Linked DNA regions of Mus musculus. The protein of the gene in region 1 interacts with the protein of each later gene in a pairwise test. Links are inferred from orthologs where the notes say so. Each region holds a gene or a part of one and is shown on either strand. Other genes may lie near its edges.

Region 1 (4,783 bases):
AGTGCCCTCAGAGGCTAGAGAGGGTTTCAGAAAGCCTGAAGCTGGAGGTGGTTGTGAGCCACTTGGTGCAAGGACTGGAAACCAAACTCAGGTCCTCAGCATGAGCCAGCCGCATATGCTCTTAACTGCTGAGCGGAGCCACCTCGCCAGCTCCGAAGCTTTCATCAGATAATAATAATGATGCTAATGATAAGCAGCAGCATGCTGGAGCACATCTGTATTCCCAGGACTCAAGAATTGGAGGCAGGAAGATCACAACAAACTTGATTGAGGTCAGCCTGGTCTATGTGGGCAGAGTCTATCTCAAGAAAACAGAATCCTGTGCTGGCCTGGGAGTGTAACCCATTGATAAAAGGGCTTGACTTCTGCAGAATCTGGATGAGTCAAGGTCATCACCAGCTACATTATAAGAGTTCACAGTCTGCCTGGGCGACATGAACTGAGGACAGGGACATGAACAAAAACCAAAAAGCCAGGTCCGAGAGCACACGGAACAGGTCAGAGCCCAGGAAGCTCAAAGAGAAAAAGACTGGCAGAGGCCAACGTGTCATCCTCAGCTCTTTCTTGTTCCCTAGGCAGTTTCACCAGACCGAACCGTTCAACACCTGGACAGGTCTGAGCTGTGCTTTTATTAGGGGTGTGGTCACTTCAAAGTCCCACGCCCGCCCTGACAGGACAGGAACACTAAAAAGAGCCTGGGTGGGTCGAGGCTTCAGCGAGCATCGATGTCTGCCTCAGGATCCTTACATCCCTGCATAGCATCAGTGTGTACACGGTGAGGAAAGACCTGGGTGACTGTGGGTGGGACAGTGCCCCATATCCTCCCCACACAGACATTTAGGCAAGCAGGCAGGTTAAGCAATACCTTTTTACTCAGCAATGAGGACTCTGCCCTGAGGGATGCGTCCCCCATGTCCCATCCCTCTCTACATTCCTATGGGGTTGGAAGGATTGACATGCAGCCTTTTCCAAAGTGGACAAAGATGGTGCCATTTAGGGTTCAAAAAGTTCCTCACCAACTTAAAAGACAAGTACTGTGTGCCCTCAGAACTGAGCCCTTGAAAAGTGGATTCAAGACACCCTCCCTTTGGGCTCAATGTGTGGTCCCTGCCCCCTCAAAATGTGCAATGAGATCCCTGACTGCCAGCCTTTTCTCTGCCTCAGAGGGAGGGGGCAGCTCAGCTTTTGGTCCCTGCTGGAATCTCTCTATCTGCTCAGGGGGATCACAGAAGATTCCTGGAGTCTGTACAGAAGCAGTTTTTGTAAATCTTCCTCTAATACCTTCCACCAAAAGTAGTTTTCACCCCGAATCTTTGGGGGCTCGTCTTGGATTCCTGGGTTCCGAAAAGCCACGGTCACCAGCACATTCAGGCAGACACCATCCACATGGTCTCTGCCTAGGTGTTGCAACCCAAGCAACCCCTTGGTCTCCACTGCCAAACTGTGCAGAGTCAGACACTCCTGTAGGAGCCTCAAGATGGCCACCTTGATGCCGCCCCTTTGTTCCATAGGGGTAAAGCCACAGGCAGTGATGGGCAAGTGAGGTGTCCCCACCGTGCCCACCAACACCCACACCGACTGGACTGTTGTGAAGGTGGTCACCAGCCGTTGGCAGACCACACTGCAGGGGAGCTCTTGAGGCAGAATGAGAGGGTGCATGGCTTGTTGGCAGAATTTGGCGCCTAGCTCTACCAGGTGCAGAACATCATGGGCTCTAAGCGGTGTGGGCAGGGAGACCCGTGGGTACCAGCCGGCCTGGAGGGACTCAGAATCAGCATCTTTGGAAGTCTTGAGAACTCCGCCTAGGAGAGATTTGGGGGGTGGGGTGGGAAGAGGGCCAGTATGAGAAGGGTTGAGCCTGAGAGAGTAAATGGCCACCCCAACACTCCAGAGAGAGAGAGACCCCCAAAAGCTCTTAGCCCGTAGTAGGTCAATGGCCATAAGCAGAAGCCCACAGTATGGCTGGCTATGGATGAGGGACCGTGAGAAATGTCACTAGGTGGGGGATACCTGTTGGTCGAGCGAGGAACACAAAGCGGATCCAGGAGGCGCCCCTCTCCTCCACGGACAGCAGTGTCACTGGCTCACAGAGCAGCCCTGCCTCCTCCTTCACCTCCCGCTGCATGGCCTCCACGATGGTTTCTCCTGGTTCCATTCTTCCTGCAGGGAGGTACCATGTCCCCCGGCATTCCCTCTTGGCCTCCTGTATCATCAACACCTCATCCTGGGAGGGAGGGAAGTGAGACAATCTTCACTCCTACCCAGCCAGTCTGGGGGCTTCAGAAGAGTAGCCCCTACCTGGATGGCAGCCCAAAGCTCCCTTCTTGGTAGACAGACACCTTTAGGATGCTGGATCCTCAGGAGTCAGGCCCTGATATGGCTGAAAGCAGTGGCTGTCTCCGCTTTGCTGTAACTCAAACCCAGAGGGACTTCTGTTGTAGAAAGGGGCTGAGGACCTTGGGCGTTGCTCTAGGAGGCTTCCTCCTGAAGGTTGCCACCACTCCTATACTGACTCATTTATGCCACTGTCTTGCTCTTGTTCCCATGGGACTTACAAACCGCCTGTGTCAAGTCCTCAATCTAGGGTCTGAGGCTTTGAAACTTAGCTCCACCCCTATACCAACCTACCCCTTCTTGGCCAGGATTTTATAACGCTGACTTGTGCAGAAGTGATCACTAAAAAGAACTCTCACAGGATCGGAGGCCTGCATGTAAGCTCCCCATTACTCTCCCGAGGCGCCGGGAGAGTCTAGACTCCTGGAAAGGAAGGGGGCATATTACAGGCCTCTCCTGGTGGGGGGCGAGGTCTAGTGGATGAGATAAACCGCCCCGGGACCTCGGCTTCTCCTTCCATATTATAGAGTCTACAGAAGGACGATCTCAGCTCAGCTGCTAGTGTTGAGAGTGCTTTGCAACATTGGGAAGCGCCACATACAGGCAGCGGCCGTTGGCTCGCCTGTTCAGATCAGGGCAGGCGGCACGCTCCCGAGACCAGCCGAAGGCCAGCGGCCGGTCGGACGCTCACCTGCTCGTTGAGGAACACGGCCAGCACCACGTAGCAGACATTCTTCCGCAGCCGCACGGGAAACAGCGGCTTCCCAGCCGGCTCCGAGTCACAGCTCTGCACCAGCAACCCCTTTCCCCCCAGCACGGTGGCAAGCGCCCCTGCCAGGCCCTCCGTGGCCATCAAGTCTCCGGGGAGGTGGCAAGCCGGGACCTGCCAGACCCCCGGAGGCAAGCGGCCGGGACCTGAGCTGCGGTGGGCCGCGGCGCCCTCGCCCCCTCCCCTGACTTGAGGGCCAAGACTAACACGGAACCTCCGGGAGAGACCTGGTCGCTGATAGGCTGCGCGTCACTGCGGCCTGCCCGGATTGGCCAGCTCGCAGCGGTTATCGGGAGGGCGGGGCGCCGGGATCCTCCCTCTGCCCCCTCCTCTCCTGGGTTTCAGCCTCACTTCACACTCTCCCTAGCGATTAGCTAATTCACCCAGCACGCACTTGTCCGCGCGGGTTCCGACGGTGATGTCATCCTGCCTGTAGGGTGATGAACACCACTGTGACCAGGGTCGATGGCGTCACTCGTCCGATGACATTACGGAAGCCCAGACTCCGCCGTTCGCTCCCACTGTCCAGCTTTTATCATAAACGAACCACAGAAGTGCTCACGACGAATAGGCCCCAAATAACTTTCTGACTTCGTTAAAATGCTCTGAATGTGGTATGGCTCAGGCACATAACGTTGCGTTAGAAATTCTGATCTGTCTAGGTCGATGGACACAGGGCATTTTAAGAGTCCGAGGCTAAAGGATTGGTTTGGGGGTGGGGTGGGGGATGGGGAACGTGATTGACAAGCCTCAGAGGAGGGATGGGACAGGTGGTCAAGGTGGGACAAGGCTGGGGATGAGAAGAAGCTAAGGGGGGGGGGGATGAATGAAAGGGAGATTGAAGTCAGCACTGTAGCCTGCATCCGATCCTGTGCCCAATGCTTTTCCCAGGCTTCTGAAACAGACTCCATCTTTAGAGGGCAGGGGTGGTGCCCTCCTACCCAGCGTCCAGGGCCTGGTCATGAGGAACAGGGTGTGGGTTGTTTTGGCCAGCTCCTGCTTCTCTCCCAGCCTGACCTTTCTTCCTCTGAGCTTCTTTAACCTCCACTCAGGACAGGAAGGCAGGGCCAGCTGAGAGGAATCCACAAAGCAGGCCAAGTCTGGGCTCCTCACCCCATCCCAGACTTCCCTTTCCTCCCCCACTGCTGGCTCTGTGTACCTCCTTTGGGGGACAGTGGCTTGATGGTACTGACAAAGCTCTGGAGTTTAAAAGCCAGACATCCAGCCTCTGCTGACTGACGTGCTCTGTGCCCTGGGTGGCCTCAATGTCCTCATCTGTACAGTAGGTCTGTAACAGCCCTCCTTTTCCATACTTGTTGAGAAGCCAAGAGAGCTTGGGAGAAGCCATGCACTATCTGAACACCGTCACCAGGCAGCCCACCTGTTCTCCAGGTAGGGTCTCAAAGCCATAGTCCATAGAGCACACCTGCACATACAAGAACACACACACCGTGAAACTGGGGAGTATAGCTCAGCGGTAGAGTATTTACCTAGCATACACAAGGCCCTGAGTTCAATTCCCAGCACCACAAAACCACATCTGTGCTCTGTAGACTTGACTGGCAGGCGATCTCAGCCCTCCGGGACTGGTCTCAGCCTTTCTTCTCCCCGATGCTGATGCAAACTCCCTGAAGAGGAAATCTACGTGAGGTTGGATGGGCACTGTTAGTGGCCCACAGT
Region 2 (4,945 bases), on another chromosome or scaffold:
ACTCATCCTCAGTACTTTTCCAATGTATCTGTGTGCCAGGGCCTGTGGACAGAACAGCAAATGAAATCTAGTTTCTGCTCTCAGGGGACCTAAGTCTCGAAGGAAGCTGGCAATTGATAAGAAACTATAATAAAATACAAGGTAGAGACTATTCACAGCAGGCACACCCTACAGAGAAGTCGAGAATGAAGTAAAAGCTGAACAGACATGAAAAAAGATCAGACTTTAACAAGGGGTAATTGAAAGACCAAGCAGCCAAGGCAAGGTCAGCATGGCTAAGCACTTAGTGTTCCAGGACCGTGTAGCTTGGTAGTGATCAAGACACAACCAAATAGGCAAAAACAAAACCCCAAACTTAAAGAGCCGATCAGGTCACACCACCAGCTGGCACAGGAAGCAGTTAAGTGTCCAAGAAGAAAAATCAATGGCCTATCACTGGTGCAGTGTACGGAAAAATGGATGCAGGAGGCCAATTCCTTTCTTGGATCAAATTTTAGTTGGCCACAACTAAGTGAGATGACCTTTGGAGTGGACCAAACTGCATTTCTGGAACATCAGCTTTACAGCCTGTTACCTACAATATACTGACTCTTCCCCCCAAACTACCCAGAGATAGTTTTCTTCTCATCAGAAATCCCAATTTTTGGTAATATTAACTATACTGCTGTGAATGATTTGTTATGAAGCTTTCTTGTTTAAAACCATAAAAAGGGCATCTTGTAAAAACTAAATACACTGGGGCTGGAGAGATGGCTCAGCGGTTAAGAGCACTGACTACTCCTCCAGAGGTTCTGAGTTCAAATCCCAGCAACCACATGGTGGCTCACAACCATCTGTAATGAGATCTGATGCCCTCCTCTGGTGTGTCTGAAGACAGCTACAGTGTACTGATATATATATTAAATAAACCTTTAAAGAAAAAACAACCCGCCGAGCATGGTGGCTCACAGCTTTAATCCCAGCACTCAGGAGGCAGAGGCAAGTGGATTTCTGAGTTCAAGGCCAGCCTGGTCTATAAAGTGAGTTCCAGGACAGCCAGGGCTATACAGAGAAACCCTGTCTTGAAAACAAACAAACAAAACAAACAAACAACAACAACAACAAAAAACCCTAAATACACTATTCCAACCTACTTGCCTTTGGGTATCTAAGATTACAATTCTAATTAGCACTAAATAAATGTAATTTTTTTCCCTCAACTACGCTAAATTTGATTCTGGTTGACATTGGTGATAAATAACTTGTCTAATATTTCCACTATAGTTCAGTGAGGTAAAAGATGAATATAGCCATCTTCCTAACTTAATGTTTAGAAGAATTAACAAAGTTTAAAAAGCCCCTCATGGTCTAACTCCAGTTTTGAGCTGTAAATTTCCTTTCTGGAACTCTAACTTCCTTAATGTTTGTGTCCTCTTGAAAATCTCTATACTCAGCCTGACCCACTGTTGCCTTCTATCTAGTTCATTACTAACTCATTAGCTATGTAGATTTAACCCAAGAACCATTGGGCTGCTAAATACTAAAGAGCAACAGACACAAGATACTGATTTAATATGGGAGACACGAGTTTTAGTCAATACTTGATCCAAATTCAGTTCACAGCAGTTACACTGGGTGGCTCATGTGTACTCCTGCTTCAAGACAGGCCCTGGCTTCTGTGCATCTGTACTCAAGTGCACACAACCACGGATACAAAACCAACAAAGTAAAATAGAAGCCAGAGAGATTGCTCAGCAATTAAGAACACTCCGATGTTTTACAGTGCACCCAGGTCCAGTTCCCAGAATCTATAGGGTAGTTTACAGCCATTCAAAATTAAACTATAGATATGAACACCTTCTTCGGACCCTTGTCAGCACAGGGCCACATCAGATGTGGGGAAGAGGTTAGATTCTAAGATTTTTACTAGTTTAGAAGTACTGGCGCTGTGGATTGTCTCAGAAAAAGTCTGGCCCTAATTCCCAATTTTATGGAGCTGTACTACCTATAAACTTCAGGGTGGTTTTCATAGGTGGGAAAGAATGTTGGAGTGCCCACAGGATCTGCTTCCTTATTAATCTAGAAACTTGTGTTGTTCCAAGACAGTGTTTTGTTAGTGGATAAAGTAACTTTGCACTCTCCACACCCATATCCTAAGGGTGTTACTAGCCCACGCCCACAATCCCAAATTCCAGGGATTGCAAAGAAGCATCTGATCAAAAAATTTTGGACCTGTTTTCAAACACTTTAAACTACGAAACTTGCAGTAAAGGAGATTATTGGCATATTAACTTTACCAGAATAAACAAAAACCCTGATAGATTTTCTTGGTTGTTTATCTGCTTATTACAAGGTTTCTAGGCACTTGGTTAGTTTCTGGCCATTTCACCTTCAGAGTACTTTCCCACTCTGCTACTTTCCTTCCCGTCCCGGGGCCTTCTTTTGGCTATTTAAATAGGCTCTGGGTGCTTAAGAGTTTAACGCACGTCTTCCAGCGCCTGGACCATGTGTGCAGGCTCCGGGCCCCAGGCGCCGTCTTGGGGAACCCGATCAGGCACTTTGTCGGAAGGCCTGCATCCGACCTCGGGGCCGCACGTGTATGCGTCAAGCCTGCTAGCTCTCTGACGGAGGGCTGGGGGACCCTAGGGTCCGAAAGCAAGTTACTCACCTACGGCTGTCGCCATTATCCGAGGTGAACTAGAGGAGCAGACCGCGCGGGAAAAAAGGGCAGTGTTCTGGAAAACAAGGGCGACCACAGGATCAGAGGGCGGGAAAGGGAGGTGCAATATCAAGGACACGCCCTAGCCCCACAGCCCACCGGCGAACCCGAAGTACCGGGCTGGCTGTGCTTGGGGCTGGAGTCGTGTCCCCAGGCTTCCCGCCGCGCAGGCGCGCTGACGCGACCCCGCTTCCGGGCGGCCCCTCCCCGCAGGCAGCCAAAAAGTGGCGCGCATGCTGCAAGGCCCCCGCTGGCCGGAGAGGTTTCTGGGTTGGAGCGGACCAAGTCCTGACGGCCGGGGGACGGCGTGAGACCAGGGGGCACGAACGGCTCAGGTTTTCTGAGGGACCCACGCGATCAGCTGCGCCACTCTCATCACCTACTCCTTGGGCGCGGGAAAATAACGGAGCCTCCCACGTGCAGAGAAAGTAGCGATCCTGACCTCGGCCTCCTCCCCACCTCTTTGACTCCGTAGCCCCGCCCCTCTCTTTGCCCTAGCTGATTGGCGGAGAGCGGGAGGCAGAACTGGTCACGCCCCTTCTATGAAGCGCGCCGCCGCAGTAGCGAGAACCTAGCCCGCCCGGGAAGGAGGCAGTCAGTAGCGCGAGCCTCTTGAGGCGTTCGATAGCGGAGCGGACAGCTGGTTGGTGCTTGGACCACGCCGCGGCAGCAGGTCCCTCCACGTGCTTTCCGAGGCGCCATGGAGCTGGAGGAGTTGGGGATCCGCGAGGAATGTGGTGTGTTTGGGTGCATCGCTTCTGGAGACTGGCCCACGCAGCTAGATGTGCCGCATGTGATCACTCTGGGACTCGTGGGGCTACAGCACCGGTGAGCAACAGGATGGAGGGGTGGGGGTGGAATGGCAAGTATTTGCACAGTTCCACGAGCCGCTTCCCAGCTCTGTGCTACGGGGAACGCAAGACAATGAGGGTGGATCATGACTGGGAAGGGGGGATCAGGGCTAGGAGGGTGAATCTCGAGAATCAAGTCAAGTACCTACTCAGGATATTGACCAAGTGGGGGTGGGGTACACTTTGCCTGCATAGACTTTAACTTAGGCTGTCGCGTTGCTCCCGAGTGCTCTTTACAGGTTAGCTCCCAAGAATGTGCATCTCTCGTCGCGGGTTAGTTACTCTGGAGTTTGCTTTCACTAGCCAGGTTGGGAAGGGACCGTTCAGATCTCCTTGAAACTAGAACTGTTCTAGAGATAAGCTTCTGTAGGGTGGTGGTGCTGAAGGTCCTGCAACACTTGAAGGTTTTTCTATTTGTTGTTGTTTTGCACGGGGCCTCCTGCTTGCAAGAGCTTTGTTTGCAAGGGCAGAGCTACTGAGCAGATTTGTCAGCCTGAAAGCAGTTAGAGGTTTGGAGATCGTGAGTTTAAAAGTAGTTATAGCTATGAGAAATTGGGAGATGCCTTTGGGGCAAACAAAGAAAAAAAGACCTTTGCCTCCATAATTTGTTTCTTGACTTCACTGACAGTATTATGGAAATAATACAAACTAGGGTTTTGTCTCTCTTCAAAAACTATTCTATCACGGAGTTTTACAATACAGTAGCAACAATGTCTAGACCAGAGCTGGGCAGTAACCCTTTTTATCAATGTGGGTGCTACATGCATCACTAATGATTATTCTTACCAGACTTAGCCTAGAAGTTGTCCTTTTGCAGAGTCTTATTTGACATTCTACATACTCCGCATACATTTATTTAAAAAAAAGCATCTGGGGCCACCCTGTGGTGGCGCATGCCTTTAATCCCAGCAACTGGAAGGCAGGGGCAGGTGGATTTCTGAGTTCTGAGGCCAACCAGGTCTAAAGAGTGAGTTACAGGACAGCCCGGGCTATATATACAGAGAAACCCTGTCTTGAACCCCCCTCCCCCCAAAAAAATTGTTTTGAGAATGTGTGTATGTATATGGTGTAGGGGACTATGTTTTTTGTTGTTTTGTTTTGTTTTTTAAATTAGTTACAACTTGCTGGGTGCAGTGACTAGCTCAAAGCACTGGAGAGGTCTGCAGAGGCAAACTGATCTGGAGCTTTTGAGGCTACATAGCAAATCCTAGGCCTGCCATAGCTACAATGAGGCCCTGTCTCGATAAACAAACAAACTACAACTTATTCTTAGTGACTTGTCACTATGTTATTATGTTTCCTATACTTACTTTTTTTGTTTTGTTTGTTTTTTTGAGACAGTTTCTCTGTGACTGGCTGTCCTGGAACTGAGTTGGCCTTGAACTCAGAAATCCGC

Evidence for each region. The genes of interacting proteins can lie anywhere in the genome.
Region 2: the proteins of Nudt18 (region 1) and Paics interact in binary tests that used the Homo sapiens proteins (3 or more experiments, as listed by UniProt). The two-hybrid records come from large-scale screens. The link is inferred for Mus musculus from reciprocal best matches to the Homo sapiens genes NUDT18 and PAICS.

What each region holds. Positions count from the first base shown.
Region 1 is NC_000080.6:70,576,353-70,581,135, reverse strand, and holds the start of Nudt18 (8-oxo-dGDP phosphatase NUDT18), read right to left. Parts: upstream 3,313-4,783; 5' UTR 3,188-3,312; coding exon 3,026-3,187; exon of another isoform or gene 2,629-3,025; intron 2,225-2,628; coding exon 2,011-2,224; intron 1,803-2,010; coding exon 1,207-1,802; 3' UTR 1-1,206. UniProt on the Homo sapiens protein: Mediates the hydrolysis of oxidized nucleoside diphosphate derivatives. Hydrolyzes 8-oxo-7,8-dihydroguanine (8-oxo-Gua)-containing deoxyribo- and ribonucleoside diphosphates to the monophosphates. Hydrolyzes 8-oxo-dGDP and 8-oxo-GDP with the same efficiencies.
Region 2 is NC_000071.6:76,949,538-76,954,482, reverse strand, and holds the start of Paics (multifunctional protein ADE2), read right to left. Parts: upstream 3,182-4,945; 5' UTR 2,664-3,181; coding exon 2,648-2,663; intron 1-2,647. Other genes in the region: Ppat (amidophosphoribosyltransferase), read left to right, coding at 3,399-3,526. UniProt on the Homo sapiens protein: Bifunctional phosphoribosylaminoimidazole carboxylase and phosphoribosylaminoimidazole succinocarboxamide synthetase catalyzing two reactions of the de novo purine biosynthetic pathway.